Linked DNA regions of Pelodiscus sinensis. The protein of the gene in region 2 interacts with the protein of the main gene of each other region in a pairwise test. Links are inferred from orthologs where the notes say so. Each region holds a gene or a part of one and is shown on either strand. Other genes may lie near its edges.

What was found. The genes of interacting proteins can lie anywhere in the genome.
Region 1: the proteins of DMRTB1 (region 2) and IL16 interact in a two-hybrid assay, tested with the Homo sapiens proteins (2 studies listed by BioGRID). The two-hybrid records come from large-scale screens. The link is inferred for Pelodiscus sinensis from reciprocal best matches to the Homo sapiens genes DMRTB1 and IL16.

What each region holds. Positions count from the first base shown.
Region 1 is NC_134724.1:17,991,865-17,999,118, forward strand, and holds the start of IL16 (pro-interleukin-16), read left to right. Parts: upstream 1-4,243; 5' UTR 4,244-4,409; intron 4,410-7,173; exon of another isoform or gene 7,174-7,254. UniProt on the Homo sapiens protein: Interleukin-16 stimulates a migratory response in CD4+ lymphocytes, monocytes, and eosinophils. Primes CD4+ T-cells for IL-2 and IL-15 responsiveness. Also induces T-lymphocyte expression of interleukin 2 receptor. Ligand for CD4.
Region 2 is NC_134719.1:10,761,786-10,769,801, reverse strand, and holds the start of DMRTB1 (doublesex- and mab-3-related transcription factor B1), read right to left. Parts: upstream 3,038-8,016; 5' UTR 2,541-3,037; coding exon 2,117-2,540; intron 1-2,116.

The sequences.
Region 1 (7,254 bases), on a different chromosome or scaffold from region 2:
TAATCTTTCACCCCAGTCCTTCCCAGAGATCAGATCATTCTGATAGTGCTCTTCTGAACCCTTCCAAATTTCTTAACTTTCTTTTTAAAGTGTGGACATCAGAACTGGATACACCATGGTCCAACTAATGCCTTGTAAAGTGATAATGACACTTCTCTATTTCTAAGCAATATTCTCATGTTTACAATAAACAACCATCCCTCCGCTTACACATGTAAAGTAAAGTTGCACCCCTCTTGTTTACTGGGAGTTCTCTGAGTCAGTAGAATAGTGGAGAAAGAATTCCACCTACTAATTCTTCTAGTTATAATTTAATGAAGTCTCTCACAAGGGGTAATTTAGGAAACGATGCAACTACTGGATGCGAGAATTTACTACTATAGATTAGAAAATGGTTAAGAATTAGAAAACAAAGAGTATGGCTGTAAAGTAATTTATAAAATGGAATGATATTCACAGAGAGATGCTCCAAGGATCCGTACTGGGATTGGGGATATTTACTGTGCTCACCAGTTTTTGGAAAGCATGGGTGTAAGGTCTTGTCTACACTAATCCCTGCTGTCGATCTAATCTATGTGACTTCAGCTATGCAAATAGGGTTGCCAGATGGTTTAAAAAAATACCAACCCCCTCTACCCCAAAAAAACCAGGAAAAAAATCTGTTGAGCTAAAAAAAAAAAAGGCTATGTAAATGTGTTGAGCAAAAAAAAAAAGGGACTGACCAGGGCTGAAACACAGTCATAGCCCCTTTAATTTCCAGTCTGCTCCACCCTCCCCCTGCCCTGGCCAGCCTGAGCTGACTCAACCACCCTTCCGTCCGATGCCCGAACTGGGAAAAACATGTCTGGTATTTTCTGAAGTTTTTTACCAGACAGAAGGTGCAAATACTAGGCTGTCCGGTTCAATACTGGACACCTGGCAACTCTTTATGCAAACAGTGTAGCTGAAGTCAACATACTTACCACAGCATCTTCTGTGTGATAAGGTCATTGGGAGTTGCTCTTCCATTGACTTCGGCTACTCTACTCATCCTGATGGAGTATCAGAGTTAATGGGAGAAAACACAGATTGATTTATCGCATCTAAGCAGATGTGATAAATCAATGGCCAGTGGATTAATCACTGCAGCGTTGATCCACCACGTCGTAGAGACAAGCCCTAAGCGGAGGAAGTAGGGAGGGAGAAATAGTGAGACGGCAACATCTGATCAACAATTGTTCTGGAAAGGCAAGACTAGAAAATCTTAAAAGGGGAACGGAGCAACAAGATGGCAGTTGAAATGTAGCATAGGTATGCGTGAGGTAATGCATATTGGGAGGAACAATTTGAACTACTTATATACACTGATGGTTTCTAAATTAACCACTCATGAAAAAGACTTTGGCATTACTGTGGACAGCTCAATGGAAACTTCTGCTCAGTGCACAGCAGTGGTCAAAAAAAGCAAATCAGATGTTAGACTGTTTTAAAAACTGGATAGAGAACAATACTGAAAATAGTAGACCACATTAAAATAAATCAATAGGACCTGCTCCTTTTAAAAAAAAGTTAGTTCAATTCTGGTCACATTATCTAGGTATGAAAAATATACAGGCAGTCCCTGGGTTACATGGATCCAACTTACATCGGATCCCTACTTACAAACGGGGTGAGGCAACCCCGCACTAGCTGCTTCCCCCCAGCAGAGCAGGGAGACGCGAAGCTAGCGCCCCCCTCCCAGCAGACCAGGGAGACGCGTAGCGGCTTTTCTCAGCAGACACCTCAGCTTGAGAATAAAGGACTGAGGGAAGTGAGGTGTGGGAGAATAAAACTGAGCTCTGGAGAAATGTTTGGCTAGAGTTTCCCCTACAATATGTACCAGTTCCGACTTACATACAAATTCAACTTAAGAACAAACCTACAGTCCCTATCTTGTACGTAACCCGGGGACTGCCTGTACAGCAGAAATAGGAATGGCCTGGGAAAGGGCAATGAAAATTATTACACGCATGAACAAACTTCTGTAAAGGGCCAGGTTTTTAAAGGATACCAAATCTGAGGCATTCAAAAGTAAGACTGCTTTTGTAAATATGGCCCATAACCTCCTGACACTTCTATTTACCAATTTTTAAAATGGGGTTAGTGATACTTACTTGTTTTTGTGACACACTTTGAGATTTATGGATGAAAAGTTATATAAATTATCATTATTATAAATAACTATTATTAATGACAAGTTAGAAAACCTGAAAGTAAAGACCATTTTGCATGGGAAAAAAATGAAAAGCCCGAGGCTTCAGTTTGTGTCTTAGTACAGAGCCTTATGTTAATTTTAGGTATTAATTCAGGTAGTCAGCTTCTAAGTTAATGACCACACATGCCTCGTTGAAAAATTGACCCGTGGCTTCTAGCCAGCAATATCCTCCCACCTCCTTGGTTGCTGTAGTAGATATACTTGCTATAAATAGCTGTCAGATTTGTAAACTGAACAGTGTTTAGTCTAAGTGAGGAAAGCGGGAACTGCATCTGTCCGGCAATGGAGTGGGTGTGGTTTGAGACAGCGTTGTTTTCTGCTGAGGATTTTTGTTTTTATTACCAAACCCTGCTATGCGTGGAGGATGTCACAAAGTCCTTCTGTCCCCCTTCTCCCCAGGCAATGAAACTGGAAGGGGAAAAAATGAATCAACGCAGTTTTATATAACTTACCAATATGTTTAGCATTTTCTGTACAGAGGGGAGCCAGTCAGAATGTGTAATTGTTTCTATAGAGAACTTAATTTTATTAATCCGAGGTTTGCTATGTTCTAGGCTTGTCCAGATCAGGGACAGACTGTGTCCTTGCCACATGACTCATACATCCTAAGCCCAATAAAATGTATAAAAAAATTGAAGTTATTCAGTGAAATGGCATTATTGTCCCCTTATAGAGAAGCATATGGGATAGTGGTTTGAGTATAGGACTGAGAGCCAGGAATGACTTAATTCTCGTTCAGACACACTCAAGCTGTCTGTGGTCTTAAGTCATTCGGGGATAGATTTTGACTAGTTTAATGGGACTGTGTCGGGGAGGAGGGTTGAGAAAAGGCCCTCTCCATGCAGCTGCTTCATGGTTCACTGGATTGTGTCTGGAACACAAGGAGAAGAGGAAGGCGCTATGTCTGAGTCTACCCCAAGCAATTGGGCGGGAAGAGGGAGACATAGTTGGCACAAGAGGGTAGTAAGGTGCACCTTCAAGAAGGGTGAAATATCTTGCTGGCCCATCTACTCAGAGCCAGAAGAGAGTAATACAGGAATTCAGTCCTACATACCTCTCCTTACTCGGGGGTCTGAGCAGACAGGTCCTTTGTCTTGCTTTTCCCTTGGTAGTTATGATGAGGATTGACTGGTTAATAACTGTAAAGTGCTCTGAAAATGAAAAGCCCGAAGTATTATCTCGGGGGGAGAAGGGGATAGATAAGTTTTTCTCACACAAAAGCATGTCTGAATAAAAACTAGCTGACTGCATAACCATTAAAATAGCAGGGGAATTTGCAATCCTCTCAAATCAAGCCACCCTCTCAGTAAGGCTACGATAACAGTGGCATTTGCACCTCCTTTATAATGATCGGTTCCACACAGAGGGAAGTCTCAGCTCCCTTTATTTGCTTTAGGTTGATGTCCCCCTCCCCTTGAGCCAAACTCTGCTATCAACTATACAGACTTTATTTCCCAAAGAACAGCCCCCTGAAGGCCTTTCAGACCTTATGAAAGGAGTTTTCACTCAAGTTAAAAGAGAACTGTGTGTTCTCTTGCTGTTTCTCTCTCTGTATGTGTGCTTTGTAAAAAGAGTTATAAATTAATCATTTCAACTTTGGGCAAGGAGTCTAGGTGTTGTATTTGTAGCCTGCACTTACATAAACACAGCAAGGGACAGTTAACTAATGAGTGGCTGGAGTGAGAAATGGAAGCTCTAAGACTATCTAAAACATTTAAACATATTTTCCACATAGGAGACCATGCGGTTGTTGCCTTTGCTTTCTTACAACAGAGACAAGTCAGTAAAAGTCCAAAGGAAAGACTGAGGTTTTACATTTCTGTTTGTGGTACAGGAAAAGGGTTACGATCTCAGTGGTTGATTCAGTGAAATAACATCTCCTTTATACACATCTGCCTAGCAAGTAGGGCGGTATTTGGAAATACCCAGGCTATAGCATTAAAGATTTGCTGGCAAATAGCAAAGGGATTTTCTGCCGAGGAAAAATTGTTATATTGAGTAGTCACTTTGCATGCTTAGGAGTTAACAGACAAATACCAAACAGCCTGGACTTACAGGGTATTTTTTATTTTGTAAAGTACTTAACATACTGTGAAGTGGCTCAGCTGCATTTTTTACATCCAAGATGTGACAGCAATGATTCTAAACAAGAAGATACAGTTGTTATTTGACTATGGTAAGTAATATCTTTATACCAAACTTTTTGGATCTCACTAATGTTCATTCTGAAGATGCAAATATGTTTCATTTACAAAGTGTTTTTCTTTGACAATTTAGATGAGAAAAGTAAATAGATAAAATGTAAAACCAGGGCAATTCTTCCTATATGAATTCTGTGCTTTTGCTTTTCCATTCTGTAATGCATATCTCATTTTACAGTGATAAGAGGGAGTTGGAATGAAATAGATGCTTATCTTTGGTTGTTGTTTGATAAATAGTCTCATGATAAAAGGGGAACATGTATATTTAGCCAGTCAGTACCTGGAAATAGGATGTTCTTACTTTGTTGGACAATATTTTCCCAGGAAAGCACATTTAAAAGTGTTACAAGCATGAAGGGACTTTCTGGCAAAGGAATCTTTCCTTAGCTGTAAAGGCCTCTTCAAGCCTATAACACTATGAGAAATACAGTAGAAACTAAACACAAAATACATCATCCACTATGCAAACAGATTTGAAAATCTATAAATTAGCCTTCTAACTAGTAATTAACCTTATTGAGGAGGATTTAGAGGAAAGATTTTTGGGAGCAGTTCTGCTAAGCTTTTGTTAAGACTCAGTGTCTTTTCCTGAGTAATTTCCGAGCCTTATTTCATGTCAACTGAGCTCTCTAGTCTACATTTTAAAATATTTTATTTTCCTTTATAGAAACTGTGCTGAAAAACACAAGCACATTTTAGCTTCTTAGAGAACAGGACAGAATTAGTATCTAATTATATCTAACCAAGCACATATGTGCAACCCCTTTTAAAATTACATTTTAATGTGATTACCTTTCACACTTTCAGAGAATACTTCCAAGCCAGCAGAGTGCAAATACACCAGCTCCCTGAGTCAGAGAGCAACGTTATCTTAGGCAGGAAATCAGTACATTGGTCCAGAAACTCAGCCTCAAATGGAAGGCATATTTGTTTAGCCATATGCTATAAGTATAATCCCTAGAACTGGAATCTTGCCAATATTATTAATGCAGAGTTCACTTGATAGTTCCATTTATTATGAGTCTTATTAGTACCCTCTTTATACAGCATAACTTTAAAGCATACCAAATAGTATATTAACTATATACTGCCAGTGGAGTGTGGCTGTAGAACTGGTATATCCAGTGCCATGATCACTCCAGTGTAAAGCAAACCTTCTGGTAATAGAAACAAAATACAGGACTTCTGGTAATACAAACTCAATGTAGAGGCTCCTCTGATACCTCTCCCTGCTGCTAGTGAAGGGGTGGTGGCTTTTGGAAAAGGGGGAGGGACAAATTATCCGCACCAATCCCTGGCTGGTGCTTTTGCTTTGTGGGGCTGTTAGCACCCAACACAGGTTGGAGCAGCTGCTCTAGTTTATGTGCAGTGCTGACCTCACATACCAGGGTTACTTTACACCAACTTTGCACCTCTAACCTCACCTCTAGCCAGGGATCTGAACCACTTTTTTACCCCTGCAGCATTTTGTATTGTTCTAGCCCATACATACATGATAGTATTAGATGCTCTGCATTTTTTGGAGTGATGACCTGTGAATTTACACCTAACAAGAAGATATTTTTAGAATATGGATGGTAATATTGGGTGGTCACTTAGTATCAAGTTGTCAAAATGGGCCTCTGCTTTGAATGTCCAGCTTAACAGAACATGATTTTTTCAGAGATGCCAAGCATCTAGAACTCCATTTGACTTCCTCTGAAGATGGGGGAGCTCCCTAACTCAGACCCAAGCCATCTCAAAGTAAACGCCCAAAAAATAGGCATCCCAATTTAGAGGACACTTTTTAAAGTTTGGCCTTAAACTCTCTATGCTACCGATCTTGTTGGTAAAATAACCTGAGATCCTCAGATGGAAGATGCAGCAGAAATACATGGTATTATTTCATTTTCAATGTTTAAAATGAAGTCACTATAGCAACACAAAAAGAATAAAATATTTTCCGTGTAGCCTCACTCTGTAAAGAAAGCATAATGATACCACTTTCCACTCTCCATGCACAGTGTGATGGGCTCTCTTCTGTGCCCCAAAATTTATGCCCAGGATCTATGGGACCAATGGGGGAAAAAATTCCTATAGTCAAGAATCCTTAACTCAGAACTTCTTGCCAATACCTTTGCTATACTTAACTCTCAGTACTGCTAGCACAGCTGATCTCAAAATGTCATGGTGGGGCAAGGGAGAGAGCCAGTCACTTGGAGGCTGGGACAATTGCATCCCTATAGGAAGCCAATAGAGTCTCAGGAGCACTGTTGTAATGCATCCTCTAGAGCCAACACTACCACTCAGCAGTTGCAACATGACATTCTGCACCTTATTATGCAGTTGCTTATTTGACACCTGTTGATGTTAGAGATTGAATCAGTTAGGTGGTAAGAACATCAGCCACTGAAGTCTTCGACACCACAAATAAAAATCACACACTCTGAGTCGCTTTATGGCTGTCATGGTATTAGAGAGCAAGGAAAGAAATGTAAATGTGAAGAGGTACAGAAAGAGCAGCTGAGTTAAATAATTTTACCTTTGCCAAGTGCACAGAATGTCAGACTCAGAACGTGGCTGCTACTAAATCCTTGCAGCTGAAATAACAACTGCTCCCCCAGATGCAGCAAATTCATCTTACCTAATCACAGACACTTAAGGGACAGGGGATTGCATAATTCCTCACCAAAGGGAGGAAATAATCAACAATGCTAATTAAAAAAAATCCTCCAATCAAAATACAGTAGAATATAGTACCTGTAGTTAGGTCTGACCCAAAGCTCCTTGAAGCTAATGGAAATCTTCCCCTGATATCAGTGAGCTCTGAAGCAGGACGGA
Region 2 (8,016 bases):
AAATATCATTGCAACCAGCTTGAAGGTTAATAGAAAGAGTCATGGTTCCATATTCTGTCCTCAGTTGTGTAAATTAAGGCAGAATCTGGCCCTTTGGGTTTATATTCAGTTCTTATTCAATTATTTTTTAATTGAAACATTAGGATTGAGGAGGAAAGGAGGGTGCTGTAAAGATGGGTTAATACAATTTTGGGAGAGCAAATATGATTCAAATTTATGCTGACAACTTGGTTCAGGATGCACAAAAAACTTCTGATTGCAGGATCTTTAATGCTTCTGTTGCAATCAAAAGTATGACAAACGGCTTGATTTCTAGTTTCCTGTGGTAGCAGCTTGACTTACAGATGAAGTGAAATTTAATACTGAAATCACTGAGAGGACATAAAAAGCTCTGTACCCTGTGACAGCTGGCATTTCTAGAGTTGTTTGCAGTATTTTTGTTGTGTTGGTCCCAAAATAAGAGAGACAAGGCAGGTGAGGAAGTATCTTTTATTGAACAACTTCTGTTGGTAGAAGGGACAAGTTTTGAGCTTCACAGAGTTCTTCCTCCGGTCACCTGTAGAGCTGTGATACACAAAGCTCCATCAACAGAAGTTAGTCCAATAAAAGATATTGACCTCAACCACCTGGTCTCTCTCATTTTTACAGTTCATTTTCAAAGAACCACTGTATTTTGCTATTAAAAAAGAATCGTGTTCACAAAGTGATCTTCCAAAGTAGTGTAGTTCCCACCATGTATGACTAGACTATATCTGTATCAAGGTCTCATCCATTCAAATCACTCCTAAAAACACTTCCGCTGTCAGGCCCATAAGCATAAAAATTAAATAACTGTTGGTAGACGAGGCTGTGCTGGAGCTATCTAAAGTGACTCCTTCCTCTCCATCTCTCAGATCATCTGGCCTGTATGTTCTAGAGCAGTGTTTCTCAAACTTTTTTTTTATAAAGTACCCCCTTTAAAAAAAAAATTATAAGTACCCCCAGTACCTACTGTTTTCAGACACACACATTTTTTTTTCTACCATTGCAACACATTTGTTTAAACAACTTAATCGTAGTCGGGCGGGTGATGAAATTTTTGGGTGTAAAAAGTACAAAAATAATAAAGTGCTGTAAAACTTAAAACAAGAATTTTCTCCAAATTTCAGTTGTGTTGACGAACCCCCAGACTTCTCTCGAGTATCCGTAAGGGTACTTATACCACTGGTTGAGAAACACTGAGCTAGAGTGCTGGTTCTCCTGAGGCCAAATATAATGGCTACTGTGGTCAGTGGGAGTCTATAAATAATAAAAATGGATTAGACAAGGCACACCCAAGACTCTACGGTAGAGAACACTATCAGAAGTAATGGCCTAAATAACCATATGCATTTTCCATTTCTACATTCTATTTTCCATTCTTAAATACACAAAATTTTACACCAACTGGTTCTCGACAAATCTAGTCTGTGAAACATCAAATTCCAATCCAGGAGGTGTCCTCTTTTTTTATGTTGCCACTATAAAATGCCTTCTCTAGACGACTCCAGCAGAAATCCCCCTATTAATCTGCATTTTCTGTTGTTCTGTGGGGTTTTTTCCTTTGTTTTTGCATGAGGGCATGTCTGTAAATTTAAAAATAATAGCACAGCTCAGAAGAAAGAGCTCAAGGTATTGTATTGAAATATCAAGATTCTATTCCTGTCACTGATTCATTTCCCTGTTAAACAAGGACTAGTTGCATGAATCCATCTTTGCAACAAGGAAACAAGCTGAGAAGGTGCTGAGGGCAGTTCCTGTAGCTACAAAGTCCATAGGCACAACTTGGAAACTTTGCAAAACCAAAAATAAATGCAGCATTGCATTCCACACACACCCACCTGGAAACAGGATGGGAAAGTGGAGTGAGAGCAACTCCAGCAATTCTGGGAAACAGTTTACCTGGGACCTAGCAGTTTCTGAGGCACTAGATCGGCCTGGAAGATGAATGAACAAACACCAACCAAACAATACCCACTAATAGATGGACAGACACTGAATGATGAACACAGATGGACAGAGAGACACAGAGATAGAAGTTAATCATCTTGAGTGAAGGCCTATAGGCCAGGCACCCCAATGCTGAGCTGGTCCCTACCAAAGTCCCCAAAGGGTGGGGAGCTGGAAGCGGGTACTGGCCTGCGGGTCCTGGCTCTGCTGCTGCTGCTGGCTGCCGGGGTGGTTTTGGCTCCTTCACACCTGCCCCCGGGGCTGCTGTGGTCCGAGGCGCTGGGGCCAGCTGCAGGAACCTTCCGACCTTTACCATGAACCGGGGTGCAGGGCACAGGTGGTGACTTCTCCCTGGGTGAGGCATCTGGGTCCTGCCCCTGCATTGCCTTCTGAGCTGCCATGATCTTCTGGCGCTCTGTAATGAGTGCACACTTGTCGCAGGGGCAGAGCTTCCAGCGGCAGTGGCCTGTGTGGCCCTTCACCGGCACCACAAAGCCATGGTTCCGGCAGCGGGAGCACTTGGGGGTGCGCAGAGTAGTCTTCTCAGCCATCCCTGCTGCCTCCGCTTCCATGGCACTCCCAGCCAGGCACACACGTAAAGCACCCTGTGTACCCAGAATTTGAAGAAGCTCAGCTTAGAAGCAGGGCGGGGCAAAGCCGGGGTGTGCCCACCACCACTGGCGACAATGTAGCAACTAAGCCTGCTCAGCCTTTTGCAAGAGGAGAGGATGAGCTATGCTCCCTGGCACACTGCAGCAAAGTAGCTTTGTAAAGAAGACATAGAGGGCCAAGTTTGCAAAAACATGCCCTCTGATTCTGCACAAGCAACCATTTGTGGGCACATCCCTGGGGCTTTCATGTGTAAGTTACAGAGTAACACACCTGATTTACATAGGCAAAGGCAGTGATTGCAAAAGGATATTTTACGCCCTCTAGAAGCGGAATCTGCTTGGGACCCTTTTAGGGTTGTCAGTTTTGGTAGGACATATTCCTGGACATGACATCACATGACACAGTCTTTAATTAAAAATCAGTCTTTGTTCTGGAGTGCTCACGAATTAATGCTGGAGGCTGGGCAACCTGGCTCCTTTCTGCCTTTCATTAAAATCTTCCCTTTTTGGTACCACAGTTACCATCATATCTTGCATGCATCTTATACTGGAATTATTTCCGTTTCATTTTTTTTTTCAAACTAACATGTATTTTTCTTGAACACGTGGGGAGAGCCTCACTCCTTCAGTAGAAAAACTTCTGATCACCATTCTGGTTTTTTACAATGTTCATCTCATCCAGTGTACCACGAGGGCAAAAAGCACACTGAGGGTATGTCTGCACTACCACCCTAGTTCGAACTAGGGTGGTTAATGTAGTCAATCAAAGTTGCAAATGAAGCCCGGGATTTAAATATCCCGGGCTTCATTTGCATCTTGCTGGGCGCCGCCATTTTTAAATCCCTGGTAGTTCGGACTCTGTGCCCGCGGCTACACGCGGCATGGAGTAGGTAGTTTGAATTAGGCTTTCTAATTCGAACTACCATTACACCTCGTTCGAAAGCCTAATTCGAACTACCTACTCCGTGCCGTGTGTAGCCGCGGGCACGGAGTCCGAACTACTGGGGATTTAAAAATGGCGGCACCTGGCAAGATGCAAATGAAGCCCGGGATATTTAAATCCCGGGCTTCATTTGCAACTTCGATTGACTACATTAACCACCCCAGTTCGAACTAGGGTGGTAGTGTAGACATACCCTGAGTTCCTCCAATCATATATCTCCCTTTGCCACATCTTTACTAACTGTAAACATACATGCAGGGCCGGCCCACAACATTTTGGCACCTGAGGCGGGGAGCTCAAATGACACCCCCATGTCTCCTCGCTTTGGCCAAAACTTTGAAAGGTCTCAATTCTGCCTTGTTCCTCTTCTACTCCTCTCATGGTACTGCAGATGGAATACATATGCACCAGCAGCAGACACAATTTTCTACACTCTGTGTCCTAGTGGAGCCCCCCGCCCCCCACAATCTGGCACCTGAAGCGGCCACCTCAGTTTGCCTCATGGTAAGGCCAGTCCTGCATACATGGGTTTAAAATTAAAAATGTAATAATGCTCCTGTTTCATTATTGCTTGTAAAACTACCTGTGTTTTTATTCCACTAGGCTAGTACTTACAAAACTATAACTCTTATACAATAGCCCCTTTTCAGGGCAAACCTGAACAGTGGAAGGAAGCATACAGCAGGTCTTTCTCACATGAAAGGAGTTAAGTTTGTGACCGTGTGATCAATCAGGGTGTGTCCAGACTACAGAGTTTTTTTCAGAAAAAATGGCCTTTTTTTGAAAAAAACGTACCCTGAGTCTAGACTGCTGCCATGTTCTTGCGAAAGTAAATTGAAAGAATGCAGCAGTTTTTTAGATCACGGAAAACCTTGTTTCACGAGGCATAATGCCTTTTTTTTTAAAGTGCTCCTTTGAAAAAAAGATGCTATGTAATGCAAACTGTGCTTTTTTGAAAGAGAGCATCCAGACTGCATGGGTGCTCTCTTTTGAAAAAGCTTGCTTTTTCAAAAGTACTGGGTGTAGTCTAGCCACTCTTTTTTGAAAGAGGCTTTTTCAAAAGTATCTTTTGAAAAAGGCTTGCAGTCTAGATGTAGCCTCTGTGGCCTCAGTCCTTCATTTACTCATCAGCTTCAGGAGGAATTCGCAGGATGAAGGAGGTATTACTGCTGCTTTCTGACAGTTGCAACAGAATATGTTTCACAGTGCAGTTCAAGGTTACATAGATCCTTCCTTGCAGCACTGCCTTGCACCTTCCACCTCCTATGGGTGGAAATTGTAACAAAAACTGTTGACTTTTAAACTAGTCTCCTGCCAGATACTGAGGATGGCATGTTCAAAAGCTCCTAAGTGATTTTCAAGTGTGAGCCCTGTTGAGCCCGAGTGGGGCTTCTGACTTAGCATAGGGAAAATTTTCAAGAGTGCTCAAGTCCTCTTGACATTTATGCAAGTTTGGTGTCTAACTTGCTTAGGGTCTAGTGGGATTTTCCAAAGTGCTGATCTGAACCAATAGATGCCCATCTAGCTTTGAAAATCTGTCCTCAAAGAGTATGCCTACACTGCAATCAAACAGAGGGTTGCCGGGGTGTCCGGTTTTTGATTGGAACACCAGCTTGAAAAGGGACCCTCGTGGCACCGCTGACCAGGCCATTTAAAGTATGGTTGGCCACCTGCAGCAAGGCAGGTAGCATGCCTGCCCAACTCCTCATAGCTCCTGAGAAGTGCCGGCATCTCCCTCTGGCTCCTAGGCAGAGGGAAGACATAGGGGGCTCCCTCCATCCCGTGCATCAGCTCTGTAGCTCCCACTGGTTGGGAACCATGGCCAATAGAAGCTGAGACGGCAGCACCTGCAGGCAGAGGCAGTGTATGAGCCACCTGGCCACACTTCCTCCTAGGAGCCTGAGAGAGATGACACCAATTCCAGGAGCCACCTGAGATGAACACCGACCTGAGCCTTCTCTCTGAACCCTCTCCCATGTCCCAGACTCCTGTCCCAGCCCTGAACCCCCTCACGCACCCAAACTCCCTACCAGAGCCTGCGGCCCCTCCTGCACGGAGCACGCTCCCACACTCTGAACCTCTCAGCACCACACTGCAGTCCAGCTCAAAATCTTCATTTCTTGCCTCACCCCAGAGCATGCACACGCCCTTTTTGCACCCCAACCTCCTGTCCTGTCCTGGTGAAAGTGAGTGAGGGTGGGAGAGAGGGAGGGAGAGTAGACGGGAGTGAGCAGGGGGCAGAGCCTCAGAGAAGGGGAAGGCAGGGCCAGGTCCTCAGACAAGGAGTGAGGCAAAGCTGTTTGGTACTCTGCAAATAAAACACCCACATCTTGCCCACATCAGTTGACTGTGGCTCATCAGCTTTTGGAGTTATGAAAGTAGACTGCAGAGTAGATATTCGGGCTTGGGCTGGAGCTTAGGGTCTGGGACCGCACGAGATGAAAGGGGCTCAGAGCCAGGCTCCTACCAGAGATCAGATGTCTACATTGCAAGGCTGTGTCTACACTGGCCCCTTCTTCGGAAGAGGCATGCTAATTTCTAACTTTGGAATAGGGAAATCCGTGGGGGATTTAAATATCCCCCGCGGGATTTAAATAAACATGTCCACCGCTTTTTTTCCGGCTTGGGGAAAAGCCGGAAAAGAGCGTCCAGACTGGTGCGATCCTCCGGAATAAAGCCCTTTTCCGGAGGATCTCTTATTCCTACTTTCAAGTAGGCTTTATACTTTCAAGTAGGAATAAGAGATCCTCCGGCAAAGGGCTTTATTCCGGAGGATTGCGCCAGTCTGGACGCTCTTTTCCAGCTTTTCCCCAAGCCGGAAAAAAAGCAGCGGACATGTTTATTTAAATCCCGCGGGGGATATTTAAATCCCCCGCGGATTTCCCTATTCCAAAGTTAGAAATTAGCATGCCTCTTCCGGAGAAGGGGCCAGTGTAGACGTAGCCCAACTGTATAGCCCTGAAACCCAAACCCCACAAATGGATGTCAGCTGATACAGACCTCAGGTGTCCTACTGCAGTACAGGAATATCCAGAGTCACTGAGGGTACATCTACATTGCAGCAATAAGCCCTAGGTTAATAGAACTTGAGTTAGCAGACCCTGGATTTGTTAAACAAGGGCTTGAGTGTCTACATTCATTTGTAACCCCAAGTTAGGGATTCCTGAGCCCTCGGATCCAACCTGGGGCTGCAGCACCTACACTGATTATGAGGGCCCAAGTCCAACTATCCGTATGCCGTACTTCCTAGCACCTCTCCAAATTGTGACCACTCTAGCCCTTTGTTCATGGTCTATGAGGGGAAATGTGATAGTCCAAAGCATAAAGAAAGTTGGCGTGTAGGTCTGTTGGTGGACTCCAAGGCTTTGCCTACACTGCAGGGTTCTGCGCAAGAAGCCTTTTGTGGAAGAGAGCTTCCGCAAAACCTTCTTGCGCAAAAGCGTGTCCAGATCTCAAAGCGCATTGCAAAAGCGATGTGCGTTTGTGTAGGAGTGTCTACACTGCATGGTCACAGAATGGCCATCAGAGCACTTGTGCTTTTGCCAATAGGAGTTTCTTGTGCAAAAACCCCTCTGAAGTGTCCACACCTGCCTTTTTGCGCAAGAGCTGTAGCGCAAAAAGGAGTTATTTCTCGTGGGGAGAGGAATAATTCTACCAGCAAAAGCCCTCTGTTCTGCTGATTTACTTGTGTAAAAATACACTTGAGGTGTGGATGCTCCACCGGTTTTTGCGCCAAAACCAGCTCTTTTGCGCAAAAACCTTTCAGTGTAGACATAGCCCAAAAGCACAAATTCAGATAATTGTGCAGATAATTATTTTCAGGATAGATTGAAAGCAACATCAATATTGCAAAGCAATAGGGCTTGAACTAGCTTGACTCAGGCTTAGACCCTCCACACCTGAGAGGTCCTGTGACCCTGAGTCCAAGTCTTGGGTTGTCATGATTAGTGTTAAGACAGAAAAGGGGTTAGGCTTGAACCCAAGTTCAAACCCTGGGCTTATATAGCAGGGTAGATATATCCTTATGCATTTTTGGAAAATTTACCGTTAGGTCCCAGTTGAGGAACATATGGCTGAAGCATATGGTTAATTTGACTTAGGTAGAACTTAAGCACATGCACAAATGCTGTGCTGAAGTACTGCTTTTCTGAACCAGGGCCTTAGAAAGACGGAGGATATTTCTGTAATTATTCTTAACATTAATTCTACACTATGGCAATTTTTGGTAGATTCCATAGCATCTGTCTCAGTGCTGGCATCCTATGTTGTGTACATATGCATATTAACCTGTAATATATATATAAGGCTTGACAAACAGCGGAGAAAGCTGCTCTCAAGAGCCGCATTGCGCATGCGCACGCCACCAGTAAACGGGGCGTGCAGCTGAAATCTACTCACCACGGGCGAGTAGATTCTATAGTTTGTCAAGCCCTGTGTGTGTGTGAGTGTATATATATATATATATAGGGCTCCACAATTAATGTAATTTACTCG